Caenorhabditis elegans: one gene and its partners. The protein of the gene in region 3 interacts with the protein of the main gene of each other region in a pairwise test. Each region holds a gene or a part of one and is shown on either strand. Other genes may lie near its edges.

Region 1 (5,431 bases), about 10 Mb from region 3:
TGATAGCCATATCCGGTAAACGAAAATCTGGAAAAGATTACTGTACAAACTTGATCAGAGAAGTATTGGTGCAAAAGCGATTTGATGTTTCAGTTGCGGGTATTTCACATAGCCTGAAAATGGAATTTGCTAAGAAACATGGTGCTTTGTTTGAAAGTAGAGTTTGATCATTCGAAAATAGGATTTTTCAGGTTTAAAGTATGAAGAACTTCTAACTGACGGGCCATACAAAGAGCTGTATAGAAAAGATATGATCCAGTGGGGAGAAGAAGCGAGATGTAAAGATTCCGGATTGTTTTGCAGGTTGTTGGAAACTTGAAATTGTATTTGACAAATTATAGTATTTAAGAGCGGCGATCAGTTCAACAATGGACAGCGACATAGTTATTATATCCGACTGCCGACGAAGGACAGACTATGAATATTTCAGTGCCAACTACAGAACTGTAACGATTCGAATCGAGACAAGTGAAGAGGATAGAAAACAACGAGGCTACCAATTTGTCGAAGGTGTCGATGATGCCGAATCTGAATGTGGACTTGACGACTACAAATTCAACTTAGTTATCAAAAATCAAAGCGGAACAGATTTATCTCAACAACTAAATATGGTTACTGAAAAGATTTCCCGAATCATTGATAAATTGTAAGAAAATCTTTCAATTATTGAACAATAACGATAAAAAACAACTGAATAGAAAGCTACCTATCAACAAGGAATAAAAATTCTCAATCGTGATTTGGTGGAATGTGAACATTTTTTGTGAGGTCATCAAATGCCAATTTGTCAAGATATGCATTTCGATCAAGGGAAATGAGAAGCGGCCGCTTGCCCACAAAAGCTGTTGCCAGAGGGATCCATACTTTCTTCATTTCGGGAGCTACGGCTGCATCGACAACTTCAGAAGCTGAGAATCTCAATGCTTGTTTTTGCATTAAGAAATTGTAATGAACAGTTGTGAACACCTGTTAAAATGTTTTTGAAATGGATTAGAAAATGGTCATGCACTACCTTTTTGTCATTATTGTAAAATATGTCGATGGGAAATCGTTTTGCAAGAAAATGAAGTAGTAGCGGAGTGAAAGATAGCAGGACGAGGAAGGTGTTGGCCACTGAAAATAATGAAATTTGAAATAATCCGTTCTTCAATAGAGATAATTCTTACCAATTGCAAACATCATCATCGAAGGTCTTTCAGCAGCTGCTTCCCACAAATAGGAGGATAGCACGGGAACCATGACTACTCCGGCAAGAGATGAAGACAGTGACAGAATCTGAATTTTTGATTAAGACAAAAGAACATGCTCCGTTGAACGAACTTTAGCTCCTTTCACACCCATCGCGACTACATCATGAGGAGTTTTTTGTGATCCGGGAGGTAATGTTCCCTTGTGGATTAGAATGGAGTGTCCCAAGTCATCTTTATCAATCTTTGACAATGGTAGAACTTCGACGTTGCCTGAAACTCAGATGGAAACAATAATTTGAAATTTGAAATAAATCGCTTACACTTTGACGTTGTTCCAAGACTTCTTACACATTTTTGAAAGTTCGATGAGCTGATTCTAATCGGGCGGAGCAATGCATATAATGAAGACATAATTTATTGATACTACCAAGAAGCTAAGTGTTGAAATTTATTAAAAGCAGGTTCAGCGCAGGAAGATTTCACTCAAGATTAAGTTGTCCAAGAGGAGTACACGGACCAGAGTTCGTTCAAACATTTCTAGGCCGCGACACAAGTGCGCTCTACTGCTTCACTGTTACAACGAAAAATCTCTTCATTTGCCACATCATTTCAATAAATTTTTGATTATACTCTCAATATGTCGAATGGATTTTGGATGGATGATGGACAACAACAACAGGGTATTTTTATTTAAAGTATAATGTTTATAGTTTTATAATTTTCAGGAGGATGGAACACTCAAACAAATCAACAAGACATGGGTTGGGGTCAATTTGATTACTCGCAGCCACAACAGCCACCGCAGCGTGAGATTTATTTGTAATTAAACAAATTTCTTGAATATCATTTCACCTTCAGAAGCTGGAAACGACTACTATCAACAAAATCAACAATATCAACAACCACAAACCAATTATTATGGAGGACAAATGTTCATGCCAAACAACGGGACGGGAGGTACATATATATTTATATCAATTCTTCATTCTGAAATGCATTTTTAATTCTACAATTTTCAGCAATTCCAAACGCCGGTGTTGCTGCTGATGGCGAAGACTATGAAAATGAGCCACCACTCTTGGAAGAACTCGGAATTAACTTCTCACATATCAAGGAGAAAACTATTGCTGTTTTAAATCCAACTGGATCTGCAACTGTCGAAGTTATTGCTGATCAAGATCTTGCTGGACCTCTCGTCTTCTGTCTTCTTTTTGGAGCCGCTCTTCTTCTTCACGGCAAACTCTCGTTTGGATTTATCTATGGAGTTGGCGGACTTGGATGCGTTGGAATTTATGCCCTCATGAATCTCATGGCAACGGACGAGAAAAATATTTCCTTCACCTGCACCGCATCAGTTCTTGGATATTGTCTACTTCCAATGGCTCTTCTGAGCATTGTTACAGCTGTATTATCATTCAAGGGCATTATCGGGTATATTATATCGTCGCTTGCTGTCCTTTGGTGTTCTTCTGCTTCATCAAAATTGTTTGTAATCGCTTTGTCAATGGATCACCAACGTCTTCTCGTTGCATATCCGTGTGTTCTTCTCTACTCTGTTTTCGCCCTTCTTGCCATTTTCTAACGTCGTGTCTTCTTGTGAATAGTTTAAATACTTGAGTAATTTATTATCATTATTTATGAGTATAGTGCCTCAATTAATTCATTATCATAAACTATTTTTTGTCATTGATCCTGATCTTGATTTACAAACTTAATGTTAAAACTCGTTTGCATACTTTTTGGTTTCGTATATCTGGAAATACTGAAATTGTTTCAGATGGATCTTAAAATTGAAAAAAAGGAGGAAGCGGAAACGTGGCTCATCAAACCACTTCCAGGTTATGTGTGTAAATGGAAGGATGTAAAAATCAATGGAATTGTAAACGATGAATACCGAAAGTGTTTTGTAAATGTATGCCATTGCGAGCAATTACCGCCACCAATCGACGATTTTGATCAAGTAGGTATTTTGAAATTATTTCCGTAATATCAACTATTTTTAAAGGATGAAATTGCTGCTCAATTAGATGCTGGAAATCCGTCATTTCGAATTCCGATGAGTGTTGGCGAAATTGACTGCGTGAAAGATCATAGTGATGAAAATTCGATCAAGGTAGTTTAATTATAAATGTTTGATTGTTAGTATGAAATGTTTTTAGATTGATGTTTTGGTAAACAGCACATTCTATAAAAAACGACTAGCGTCTCCAAATGACGCATTCTTCCGTCATCTCCTTTGTCTAATTTTCTGCGATCTTGTGAAGGATAGAGTCAGTTGAAATTTTATCAATTGAAATAACATAATTCTTAAATTCAGCACTCCATTGACTTAGACCCATTGAAACCAATCGTTCTTCGCAATCGTGTTTCAGTTGGAGAACTTGAAGTACAAAAAATTCACAAAAAACCAGAAAAACAGATTGTCGAAGAAATGTATCAGGAAGATAAAGTTAGAATGGAGAAAGAAGAAAAAAAGCAAGTTGGAAATGATGATGTTGCTGAAATGAAAAATGAGGTTAGTTATTTTTGTTGCAACAATAATTTTAACTTTAAAATGTCTCCTTTAGATGTTTGGCCTGAAACACATTGATGGAACAAGAATACGACTTTTTGATGGTGACAGACTCGAAATCAGTATGCGATGTGAACTTAATGGCGAACCAATCAAAGATCCTAGAAGGTGGGTACATTATTTTAAATTCAGTTGAAATATAAACAATCAAAATGCGAGTTGAGTTTTCAAAAAGTGTGAACACATAATTAAAATCATCGATTTTTCTTTCAATTTCAAATGTTGACTATGGCCAGTGGGGAAATGATTGAAATCCATCCCTATTATGCTAAAATGTCGAAATTTCATAATAAATTAAAAAAAAACATTTTGACAAATTTTTATTTTTTTATTTTATTTTAAAAAAAAATCTAAATTACTGTCGGATGTTTGAACCCTATAATGTAATAATATGAATATTTTGAACATAATTAAAACATAAAATTGGAAGACAAATTGTTTAATCGACTTTCAGAAAATTCGTGAAAATTGAGTTTTTGACTCGAAATAAACATATTTCCAAAATTTTTCCAACAGTTATATTTATTTCGCAGTTTTAGCACCGCAGGAATGGTGTTTAATCATTTCCCCACAGGCCGTAACATTAAAAAAAATGTATCGTAATTTAATTTCTACCCGATGATAAATAATTTTCCAAAATCGTCTAGAATTTCTCAAGATTCTCAAAAACACAGACTTCATTATTATCTATATTAGTTTTACGTGCAAGACTTATTATTGATAAGTTTGTAGGTGTGAAAAACTGTATAAAAGTTTTTAATCCATAAGAGGCTACAAAGCTAATTTCCAATTTGTACGTAAAGAAGCAGAAGCAAAAAATACCTGATTTTGAAAAACCTAAAATTGATAACTTGAAAGCTTTTTTTAAAAGCTTAATATTTTTCAGACTAGAACTCCAACTCAACCCCACTCGATGCTTGGTAACGTTGGATAAAAGTCGCAGCCTTTATGATTTCGGACTCCCATTTCACATCAATCCGTCCACAGCCAAATCCAAATTCAACCACGAAAAATTCACACTAGTGGTTTCAGCAAACATTCTGTTGTGATACTGTAATCTCGCGTTTCTTCTAGATCTCTATTGTTGAATGCCGTTGTTTTTCTACTTGTTGATTTTGTTCCCAGTTTTGGAATTTTTCAGATTTGTTTTACTGATTAAAATTTAAAAAAAAATCTATATTATTGCTTTTGAAAATCGCCGAATAGATATAATCAACTAAAATAAGATCCAGAGCGTTTCGATCCTAAAAAACATCACATGCATATTGCGACTTTTTGAAGTTCAAACAACGAAACAGTCAATAAAATATCCTATGAAAACAAAAATTAACCATTTTTGATGTTTTTTGCCCGTGCAGAATCCTATTTCGAAGTAAATTATTTTCAAAGTAAGAAAGCGGACTAATTCACAACTCAATAAATGCAAAGTTATTTCTATTTTTCTGAAGGTTTCTAAACAAGAAAAAGCTTATTTTAACGTATTTCTTCTCTAATTCTCCATTTTCGTCTTCATCACGTAGAAACCAACACTATTTTCAATGTTTCTCATCCTGCGTCTTCCATCTCGATGTTTCATGTCAATGTTTCATTGAACTTATTGGTTTGCCCGTTTTCTGTGTTACATCAGAGTCCAGTTCTTCAACTACGATCAACCCATCACGTATGACAT
Region 2 (4,163 bases), on a different chromosome or scaffold from region 3:
GAAATCGATCGATACGGAGACGCGTTGCCTGCAATCCGACAATTTATTCTTTCTGGCGGTGGAATGACGTCTGCTCAATTACAGTATTCCCGCGCAATTTGTCGTCGAGCTGAACGGAGTATTGTTCCACTTATGAGAGACGAAGACGTCGATCCAATGGCATTAAAGTTCTTGAATAGGTACTATGGTTATCGATTCATCGTTAGTAAGAAATATCAATTTCAGAATGAGCGATCTTCTATTTGTTCTCGGTCGTACTGCCTGCATGAGAAACAAGAACGAAGAGCTGACATATCTTCGCCCCGATTCGTTCACCAATTTGAAATGGGATCGTAAATCTCTTCACGAGAAAAAATAATTTTTTTTATAAATATGTAGTTATCATTCTTGTGAAACTCGCCATACACTTCGTGTAAAATTTTTATTGAATAATCTTGCCATAAATATCAGATTTGTCTATATATATTTTTCTTTTTTGAGATTCTTTATAATTTTTTATATTAATTGATTGTGAACTCTTCATAATGTATATTTTTGTTTAGAAACCAAAACGAAATTTTCAGATTTCCAACTTGTATAATTTTAGAAAATGCTACCATTTGACCCATCCACTAGATACGATCGTCAAGTTCGACTTTGGGGAGAAGAAGGACAAGCATCAATTGGTTCAACAAGTGCATGTGTTCTTGGAAGCGATTCGCTAGGTATTTTTGAAAAAATTGAATTAAAAATCCAATCTAAATATTTTTAGCAACAGAAATATTGAAATCGTTGGTTCTCGCCGGTGTTCAATCATTCTATGTCGTTGATGACGCCAAAGTTGAACAAGCTGACATCGGTCAGAATTTCTTCCTCCATGCAGATGATATTGGACGTTCTCGTGCCGAGGCAACATTGGAGAAGCTTACCGAACTGAATCCATCAGTCTCTGGTAGTGCAAGTAGTCAGCCACCAACAGCGTTAGCTATGGAAGATGTGGAAAAGCTGACAACGTTTTCTGTGGTTGTTGCTGCAAATCAAAATGAAGAAATTGATACGACGTTCGCGAAAGTTTTGTATAATATTAGAGTTCCATTCATCTGTATCAAGTACGATATTTTCAAAATTTGAAGTTCTTGCAGTTAAAATTCCAAAATTCAGAACTTTTGGACTAATTGGTACCATTCGAATCTGCATCAAAGAACACACAATTGCTAACTCACACGAAGAGAATCCGAGACCTGATTTACGGTAAAATATACATGAAAACTTCCAAAAAAGTTTTTATTTCTCAGATTGGATGCTCCATTTTCAAAGCTTATTGAAATGATCAATGAAACAAATCTAGATGAAATGACTCTAGAACAACTCCGCCATACTCCGTATATTCTTCTTCACTTCAAAGGTTTTTCTCGCAATTATGGTTGTATTCTGTTATTTACCTTCTTAATTTCAGCTCTCGAAGTATTCAGAAAGCAACGAAATGATCCTGAAGCGTTCCCATCTACAACTGCGGAACGTAAAGAACTTCAGGCGATTCTTATGAGTTTCCGACGTTCGAGTGAAGAATCCGGAACCAAGGATTCTGAGAATTTTGATGAGGCGAAAGCGGCGGTTATTCGAGCTTTTCAAAGAACTACGGTAAGTTTTTGATAAATTATCCAAATTGATTCTCATTTCTAGTAAGTTTCAGATTGGTTCTTCTGTAAAATCGATTCTCTCTTCTCCACAATGTTCAACATCGACACGCCCATTCTGGTTAATCTGTGAAGCTCTTCGTCGTTTTGTCACCGAGAATAATAATCTTCTGCCTCTTCGTGGAACTCTTCCTGATATGACTTCTGATTCTTCTCGATACACTCGCCTCGCAACTCTTTTCCACGAAAAAGCTCTTTCAGATGCTCAGGAAGTGCTTCGTTTGACACGTGAAGTAGAGAAGGAACGAGGTGTTGGTGACGTCATATCGGATGACGTTTGCTATCGTTTCTGTAAGAACGCTGATCGGATTCGAGTTCAGTATGGCGATGTGCTTGACTACAACGAAGAAACCAAAGCAATTGTTGAGAAAATTCGTGAAAGCAATATTGATGAAGAGACTAGAAATCAGAAAGTTGATGAAGCCACGTGGATGCTACTGATGAGGGCAGTTGGAAGGTTCCAAAAAGAAAAAGGACGTTACCCAGGAACTAATGGAGTTCCAGTTTCAATTGATGCTCAAGATTTGAAGAAGAGAGTTGAAGTTTTGATTCGAGAAGCTTTGAAGGTTTATTACATTCGTTAGTGAAATTAAAACTATTAACAAATTTTAGGATGAACAGGACTTCACATCAATCTCAAATAAAGTGACAGACACTGCTATCGCTGAAATTTGTCGTTTTGGTGCTGCGGAGTTACATGTCATTTCATCGTACGTCGGTGGAATAGCTGCTCAAGAGATTATCAAATTGGCTACCAATCAATATGTTCCCATTGATAACACATTCATTTTTGATGGACATACTCAGGAGTCGGCAACATTCAAATTTTAGTTTAATTTATTGGTTATTTCGCGAATTTGGTTTTGAAACTGTTCCTTGTGGCATGACATTTGTAAATGAGCCTTATTATCAGCAAAGATTTAAAATTTACAAAATAAAACTTTGATTCAAGATTGACATACTGAATATATTCATGAACATATTCATGGACATTGGAACATTGCAATTCGCTCATCTCCCATTTTTAGATATCCCCGGAAACCCCAATTTGAATGCCCGCGCAAAAAAGAGAGAATCGTTGCGAAACCCGCGCGCGTAAATGTTTGCACCTTTAAGTTTTTTGTTTCGGTTTTCCATTTCTTCGAGTTTCTTTCCTCAATTTTTTCTTGTTTACCAACTGCTTATTGCTGTTTCTTATGATAAAAACTTTCTTTATTTTAGAAAATGGCTGGAATTATTTTCGACGATATGTTCAAAGTGAAAAGCGTGGATCCAGACGGCAAAAAATTCGACAGAGTTTCTCGATACTTCTGCGATGCTGAGTCTTTCAAGTGAGATTATTTTAACATTAACTTTTTTACTGACTATGAGAATTGAAAATTTTTTAGAATGGAGCTTATCATTGATATCAACTCGCAGATCTATCCACTGAAGCAGAACGACAAAGTTCGTCTTGTTCTGGCCACTACACTCCGAGAAGACGGACTTGCCGATGAAGGAGAATATGATCCAAAAGTGAGTTTTTATCTTTTTACATTTTTTAAATATATGTTTGCACTACCTGTCTCGTTTTGACTTGGATAACTGATTAGATAACTGAAATTGAAAACTACATTTCACTTATTGTGTAACTCAATCGTTTCCCTTTCAGGCAGAATACCCAAGAATCAAACAGTATGAATATGTGATGTACGGAAAAGTTTACCGCTTGGAAGACGATGATACTGGAACTGACGGCGGAAAGCTCGCTGCTTATGCTTCGTTTGGCGGTCTACTGATGCGTTTGAAGGGCGAGGCTATCAATTTGCATGGTTTCGAGGTCGACATGAATCTGTACCTTCTCATGAAGAAGACTGACTTCTAATCCGCGACTGAAAGTTATTGATTATTTCATTTGTTGATCCGTTTTCTATTTGTTCTACTGTTTTTTATCTCTTTCCAATCTTCACTCAATTTGATCTTATTCTGATTTGTCAGACCGAATTTTCTTTTACATGAAATTTACATTGTTACAATTAAAGTAATTGACTATTTTGTAATTTTCAGTGCAGCAAGCCTGTTAAATATCTTCTTTGATATTCTCAAATTTATTTCCAGCAGTGTGCTTTTCAGGGTTTACAAAATGTCAGCCAATAAAGAGCTGCAACAAGGATACTCTGACTACTCAGCAGCGGTGAGTTTTAATTCACAAGATGTGGAAGTTTTTTTTATCATTTCAGTCCGACCAAGCTGCGCTTCTGAATCGTCTCATAACTGCCATGCAAAAGGGAGAGCTTACTGACGAACTTTTGGAACATATTCCGGAACTCGGCGATGCCAAGAAATTGAACGATAAGCTCAAATACCGGAAGTCGATTCTCGAGAAGAGCATTGCCGAACAGGCAGCCAAGAACAAGAAAAATGGTGTGAAAGCAACATCAACTAGTTCTCCATCTTCTTCTACCTCTGCTCCAGCCGAGAAGAAGGCCAAAAAAGACGGCAAAACGT
Region 3 (5,735 bases):
TAAACCAGAGCACAATTTTCCAGGAGTCAAAGGATTTGAGATGAGGATTGCTGAAACTTGGTAATAACACAAAAAAATCCATGCAGGCGCCAAAATGCATACCGCGCCTGCCTTGCGGCGACCTCCGCATGCCTCGCGCCGCAAGCCGATCTCACTGTATAGTGCGGCGCGGAACCTGAAAAGTGTCGGTCACGGCGAAAGAACCACATTTCGCGTCAGGTCCTGAAACCGCGCCTGCCTCTTATGAATTTAATGGTACAAATACAACTTCAAAGTATCATTATAGTTAGCTTAGCTTCAACTTACTTTGTAATGCTGAAAAATCGATAAATGAAGTGAAGTGCAAGAATCGCGATGGAAAATCCGAAGCAACCAACAAATAGTACTGCAAAATAGCACACACATTGTAAGTTGTGCTTCTCTCTTGAAAACTTACAGTCTAGAACGCAAACTACAAACTTTGGAAACAACGATTCTTTCCAATTGACAATCAAGAAAAATGCCGATTCTTTTGTCAGAAGTTTCTGGCATTTCCAAATTTTTCAAGGCTGCTATTTGCGATTAACTTACCGGTTTTTCCAAAAAATACAAAAAAGCATAAGCCAGCTCGAAAAGATCAATATAAATCATGAGATACTTGTATGATCCTAAGGATTGCGGAGATTTTTTGAGAATGAGGCATATGAGTAGAAAGATGATAGCAATTGCGAAAACGGCCGATGAATTCAGAAAAACAATGTCGTCGATTTTCATATTCCAATCTGAAATGTAAATGAAATTGAAAATGTAATAATACATGAAATTATTTGAAATTCCGTGAAAACGCCCAGTCGAGTACAAAATTTAGATCAAAAATTCACTTCCCACTTACTAGGAAATTGTAGGCAAAAACACTATAACGTCATAATATTCCTCAAAAATGTACAATGTGGATAGTGAATCACGTATCAGTTGGTTCAAATAACAGTGTTGTAGTTCCGGTTTGAAATGTGCCAGATTTCTGGAAAATAACTGATAATAACAGAAAATAACTGTTTTTTTAAAGAAAAGTTAATTTTTTGGAATAAATTTTCATTGACAGCTAAAACTGCAATTTCAGTCACATTTGGAACGGTTGGAACTGTAGTTGAAGGGATATTGCGTTGGGAGTTGGTGATGGATAATGCCAAAGTACTGTAGTAGTACTGTAGGGGTACTGTAGGGTTACTGCAGGGTTACTGTAGTTTAGGAAAATTTGATTTTTCAGCTTTTGAAGGGATATTGCGTTGGGAGTTGGTAATGGATAATGTCAAGGTACTGTAGTAGTACTGTAGGGTTAATGTACTTTGTTTAAGGTTGTGGTGTGATGGTTTTCAAAATTTAATCTTTCAGCATATACGAAAAAACTTAAGCTGTTTTAGAGTAGAGTTCATGTGTTGTTTGTTTGGACAGAAATAGGTAAAGTGATAAAGTTGTATTTATATAAGAAACAAATCCTGTAAATCATGTATTCGTCACGGGTGTTGAAAATTCAAAAAAATATTCATTTATTAAATTGCAAATAGACATCAATATAATTGAAAAATCAATTGTTTCGCTGAATGTTTTGAGCGGTGAGCCCTGAAACCAAAGAAGTTCCTCCATCGGCCACAATCGACTGTCCTATTATGTAAGAAGATCTCTTGCGATCCGCCAAAAAAATAATAAGCTCGGCGATGTCCTCAGGCTTTCCGCAAACTCCTGCAGGAATGCAGGCTCTGTTAGAAGTGAAGTTCTCTTCGATCTAAAATTTCTATCAAATTTACAGCAATCATGGAACAATTTCGTTTACCTGTTTCTGGACCTGCTCCGACATTCCCATTGCCCCCAGAAACCCGGACGTGACGACACCCGGGCTCACTGAATTAACACGAACCCCTTGCAAGATGAGATCAAGTGCCACGCAACGTGTGTATTGGTCTAGGGCGGCTTTGGAGGCTGCGTAATAGGGGGATGGAGCAAGCTGAAAATATCCGGTTTTAGTTTGGTAGAAATTTATGGAGCAACAAACCGCCTGTGGTCCTGCAGCTACACTGGAGACATTCACAATTTCACCTTTCGATTCGATCAGGTGATTTTTGGTTTTTTTCACCATCTCGATGACGGCTTCAAAATTGATTTGAAATGTTTTATGGTACAGCTCGGTAGATTGATCAGTGTTAAAGGTACCGTCGACCACATTGGCACCGGCGTTGTTCACCTGGAAGGTGAGAAAAAGTGTTTAAAAAAACTGCGGTCAGAGATGCGCAGTACATTTTTTAAGCACATGTACAAAATCGAGCAAAAATGACTACATAATATTTGACGCGCAACATTGGATCTCTAATGATTTAAACAGATAAGCATACCTTCACTTACCAGTACATCAATCCTCCCAAAAGCATCGAGCGCCGATTGCACAATCTCGTCTTGCCCATCAGAATCCGTCAAGTTCGCCACGACAACACACACATTCTCCGGATTCTTCATGACCTTCAGCATCTTTTTCTTGGTAGCCTCGAGTTTTCCAGCATCTCTACCAGTGATTGTTACCTGGGCTCCATATTTCGCAAAGAGCACCGCAGTGGCTCGACCAATTCCACTTGAAGATCCTGTCACGATGACAGACTTTCCAGAGAAGCGGTTCATAGAGAAAAGGTAAAGAATAAGTATGAAAGTGATATTTTTGAGCTGCTCTCCAACATCTTTTATAGTTTTGGAAAATGTGTCGGAGGGGGACAGCGTCTGTGACTAGAAGGTATAAAGCTGAATGTGTAAGCACATGCGTTGGACGTCTGTGTCTCTTTTTGTGCTTATCTCTCAGTGTGTCAAAAAATCTATGACCAAAAGGGTTCAGGTTACTCATAATTACTTAAAAATATATCAAACTTATATAAAATATAAAAATAGTGCAAGTTTTTAAAATTTTCCGCGAAAACTAGAAAACTTATTTTATTGTGAAAAAATTTGGGCGAATGTTCAAAGTTTCAGGGGTAAAAATTCCTGGGAATTAAAAAAAAGACGGGAAATTCGCATTTTCATTGCAGTTTTTTTTAAAGGGAAATTAAAATTTTCAGTCCATTTCTTTGGCGGGAATTCAAATCTTCATGTTCTGAGAAAAGTATTGGTGCAAAATTCACATTTTCTAAGAATAAAATATAAAAAATTGTTTTTTAAACTTTTTTTTTCGAATCTCGACATCTAGATAACTTTGAACAATTTCGGATAAATTTCTGAAAACTTCTAGATGTTTTTTAAAAAGTTCCCCTACTTTTGATCTTTCTTCAAAAAATGATTTTTTTTCAGTGACTCATAAACGTAGACTACCTAACTGCCTAACAACTCTTTTCAAAAGACTACAAGAGCAAACACAAAAGTTCACCAGTGGCACAAACAGATACTATGCCAATACTATGGGCACCTAGTATATAAATTGAGGAGACACTTTACCAAATCACTCCAAAATGAAGTCTTACCTTTCAATTATTGCTCTGTTCGCTGTAGTTTTTGCCGATTTCGACGGACCAATGTTCTTGAGATATCAGCCGAGAAATATTCAACAGTCTTATTTTGCAATTGCTAAGAACTATCAGCTAAGTCAGATGCAGAAGAACCAGCAGCTTCAGCAATGGGCTCAGATGAATAATCTTTCGGTGAGTTCTCTGAAATTTTGAATTTTTTAAATTTGAAAATAAAAATCTGAAATCACAATAATTTTCCAGAACGAATACTCCAGCTACACACAACAACGGAGCCAACAAGAGCAACAAGTCAGCCAGCAGACTTCTCAAATAATTTCCCAGTTATCAACAGTTCAAAACCAGCTTGAATCCATTCTGAACAACGATAATCAAACGGGAGCTCAGAAGCGACAGGCTATCCAGTCTCTTAGATACCAGTACCCTCAAGAAGTTTCAGTTTTGTTCCACATTCGGGAAGTTTCCATGAAAAGAATGGGAATCGATGATGACCATGATGACAGTTATGAATCATTTTAAGTTTTTGAAGTTTTTTTTTTCTAATGAATGGTTTTAACTTTAGAGGACACATAAATGGAATTAAAAGCGGTATTGTTTTTGTTGAAAAAATTTTAAAAACAGCCTCAGGATATTTCATGAAAGATGTAATGTGTCAAAAAAAAGTGAAATATCGGACCGCTTCCTAGGTTCCTATAATTGTTAAAATATCCAAAAATTATTGTAAAAATTTTCAGAAATTAAAAAAAATTAAATTATAGTCAAAAAAAAAGGTAAAAACTCAGTCTTCAAGTATTATAATTTTACAATTCATTTTTGAAAATCTTGGGAAAATTCCAAAAATTTTCGACATTCAGAAAATTGTTTGAACTTTTTTGAAAACTTTTTCACCAAAATAAACATCATTCTAAAGTCATCTAAATGTTTTTAATATTTTCTCAAATATTTGTGAAGTTATGTAGATTTTTTCCTTTAGTTTTTCCATTTTTCCATTAACAATTTGTTAAAAAACTGTGAAAAAATATCAATTAATTTTTTTTCTGAAAATTTTCAAAACTAGAAACTGAATTTTGTAAGACCTTCTTGAATTTTATAAAGTAACATTAAACAATTATATGTCAATCTTTGAGTAAATCTGCAAGATGTCGGCTGCGAGCCTTATCAAAATCCAACCTATAATGTGTCGGCCGCTCATAATTCTATGTTCCTGATTACTATGGTTTCTGCTCAGTGTTTCGCTGAGTTTTCTGAACTTTTAGCCAATTTCTCTATTTGTTGCAGCTCCCAAAACACGTTGTTTACCGCAAAGTCTAGCCAGAGTTCAATGTTTTGAGTGCATTCTCTTGATTCTTCAGTAGCCTTTTAAGCTAGCAAATATGTCGTGTGTAACACGATTTTCATACGTCACGGAATACATGGTATTTAAGGACAATGTTTTTGAATCAAAAATTATCAAAGCTTATTTGAAGACATGGCCTCCTATTTTATCCTCGCTGTTCTGATTGCTGTGACTGCTGCTGCTAGTTACAACAAACCAAATTTCGTGAAGGATTTGCCAGATAACATGCAAAAGTCCTATGCTACAATTGTACGCAATTCCCAGCTGACAAAACTTCAAAAGGATGAGCAGCTTCAACAGTGGGCTCAGACCAATAATCTTTCGGTATGTTTAGATTGCTGAAGAAATTTCAAACTTTTAATTTTAGGATCAGTACACTGCATATACCAAGAAACAACAGGATAATGAGAATTTCATGAGCAAAAACACAACACAAATCATCTCCCAACTATCTTCAGTTCAAGCTCAACTTGAAGCGATTTTGAGCAACAAAAATCTCACTCGCGATCAGGAGGAAGAAGCCATCGACTCACTTGAGGAGCAATACTGGCAAGAGGTTCCAGTTCTGCTTTTCATCAGAAAAATGTGGAAGAAAGCTATGGGAATGAAGGTTTAGAGGCTTAGAAGCTAAGCACCTAAAATTTTAATTTATTTGCGATTAATAAATTTTTATACGACTTCAGATGTCCCGTAAATTTACACAAGACTCTATAAATCTACACAAGGTTTTGTAAGTCTACAGCAAATACTGTTAATCTAAGTGTAAAAAATTCAAAAAATCAGCTTCATTTGAGCCAGCGTTGCTTCAGTTTTTCTTAATTTTTTTTAAATAAGTGTTCTGGCTGAAAAACGAATAAATTTGCAGACAAAAAAGCGTAAATTCAAAAACCATCTACGTACAGTTTTTGGAGAAAAAACTTCGA

Evidence for each region. The genes of interacting proteins can lie anywhere in the genome.
Region 1: the proteins of srlf-35 (region 3) and F32D8.4 interact in a two-hybrid assay, tested with the Caenorhabditis elegans proteins (one large-scale study listed by BioGRID).
Region 2: the proteins of srlf-35 (region 3) and rpb-8 interact in a two-hybrid assay, tested with the Caenorhabditis elegans proteins (one large-scale study listed by BioGRID).

Annotation. Positions count from the first base shown.
Region 1 is NC_003283.11:10,891,097-10,896,527, reverse strand, and holds F32D8.4 (PIH1 N-terminal domain-containing protein), read left to right. Parts: upstream 1-2,967; coding exon 2,968-3,150; intron 3,151-3,195; coding exon 3,196-3,303; intron 3,304-3,349; coding exon 3,350-3,460; intron 3,461-3,507; coding exon 3,508-3,705; intron 3,706-3,757; coding exon 3,758-3,870; intron 3,871-4,648; coding exon 4,649-4,811; 3' UTR 4,812-4,931; downstream 4,932-5,431. Other genes in the region: F32D8.13 (Phosphomevalonate kinase), read left to right, coding at 1-141, 192-303, 350-646, 699-723; F32D8.5 (Transmembrane protein 70 homolog, mitochondrial), read right to left, coding at 730-966, 1,013-1,113, 1,167-1,275, 1,321-1,466, 1,511-1,601; F32D8.14 (Protein YIPF), read left to right, coding at 1,828-1,870, 1,916-1,996, 2,049-2,147, 2,210-2,772.
Region 2 is NC_003281.10:4,916,743-4,920,905, reverse strand, and holds rpb-8 (putative DNA-directed RNA polymerases I, II, and III subunit RPABC3), read left to right. Parts: upstream 1-2,897; 5' UTR 2,898-2,900; coding exon 2,901-3,007; intron 3,008-3,064; coding exon 3,065-3,191; intron 3,192-3,327; coding exon 3,328-3,540; 3' UTR 3,541-3,663; downstream 3,664-4,163. Other genes in the region: mmab-1 (Corrinoid adenosyltransferase MMAB), read left to right, coding at 1-179, 226-358; ula-1 (NEDD8-activating enzyme E1 regulatory subunit), read left to right, coding at 590-704, 752-1,088, 1,141-1,230, 1,275-1,384, 1,436-1,620, 1,667-2,242, 2,289-2,507; rars-1 (putative arginine--tRNA ligase, cytoplasmic), read left to right, coding at 3,799-3,849, 3,896-4,161. UniProt on the Caenorhabditis elegans protein: DNA-dependent RNA polymerase catalyzes the transcription of DNA into RNA using the four ribonucleoside triphosphates as substrates.
Region 3 is NC_003283.11:500,578-506,312, forward strand, and holds srlf-35 (SXP/RAL-2 family protein Ani s 5-like cation-binding domain-containing protein), read left to right. Parts: upstream 1-3,450; 5' UTR 3,451-3,461; coding exon 3,462-3,650; intron 3,651-3,719; coding exon 3,720-3,995; 3' UTR 3,996-4,055; downstream 4,056-5,735. Other genes in the region: str-256 (Serpentine receptor class r-10), read right to left, coding at 1-50, 307-385, 437-524, 571-753; T01G6.10 (DeHydrogenases, Short chain), read right to left, coding at 1,565-1,762, 1,811-1,981, 2,030-2,218, 2,377-2,646; srlf-19 (SXP/RAL-2 family protein Ani s 5-like cation-binding domain-containing protein), read left to right, coding at 4,945-5,136, 5,180-5,428.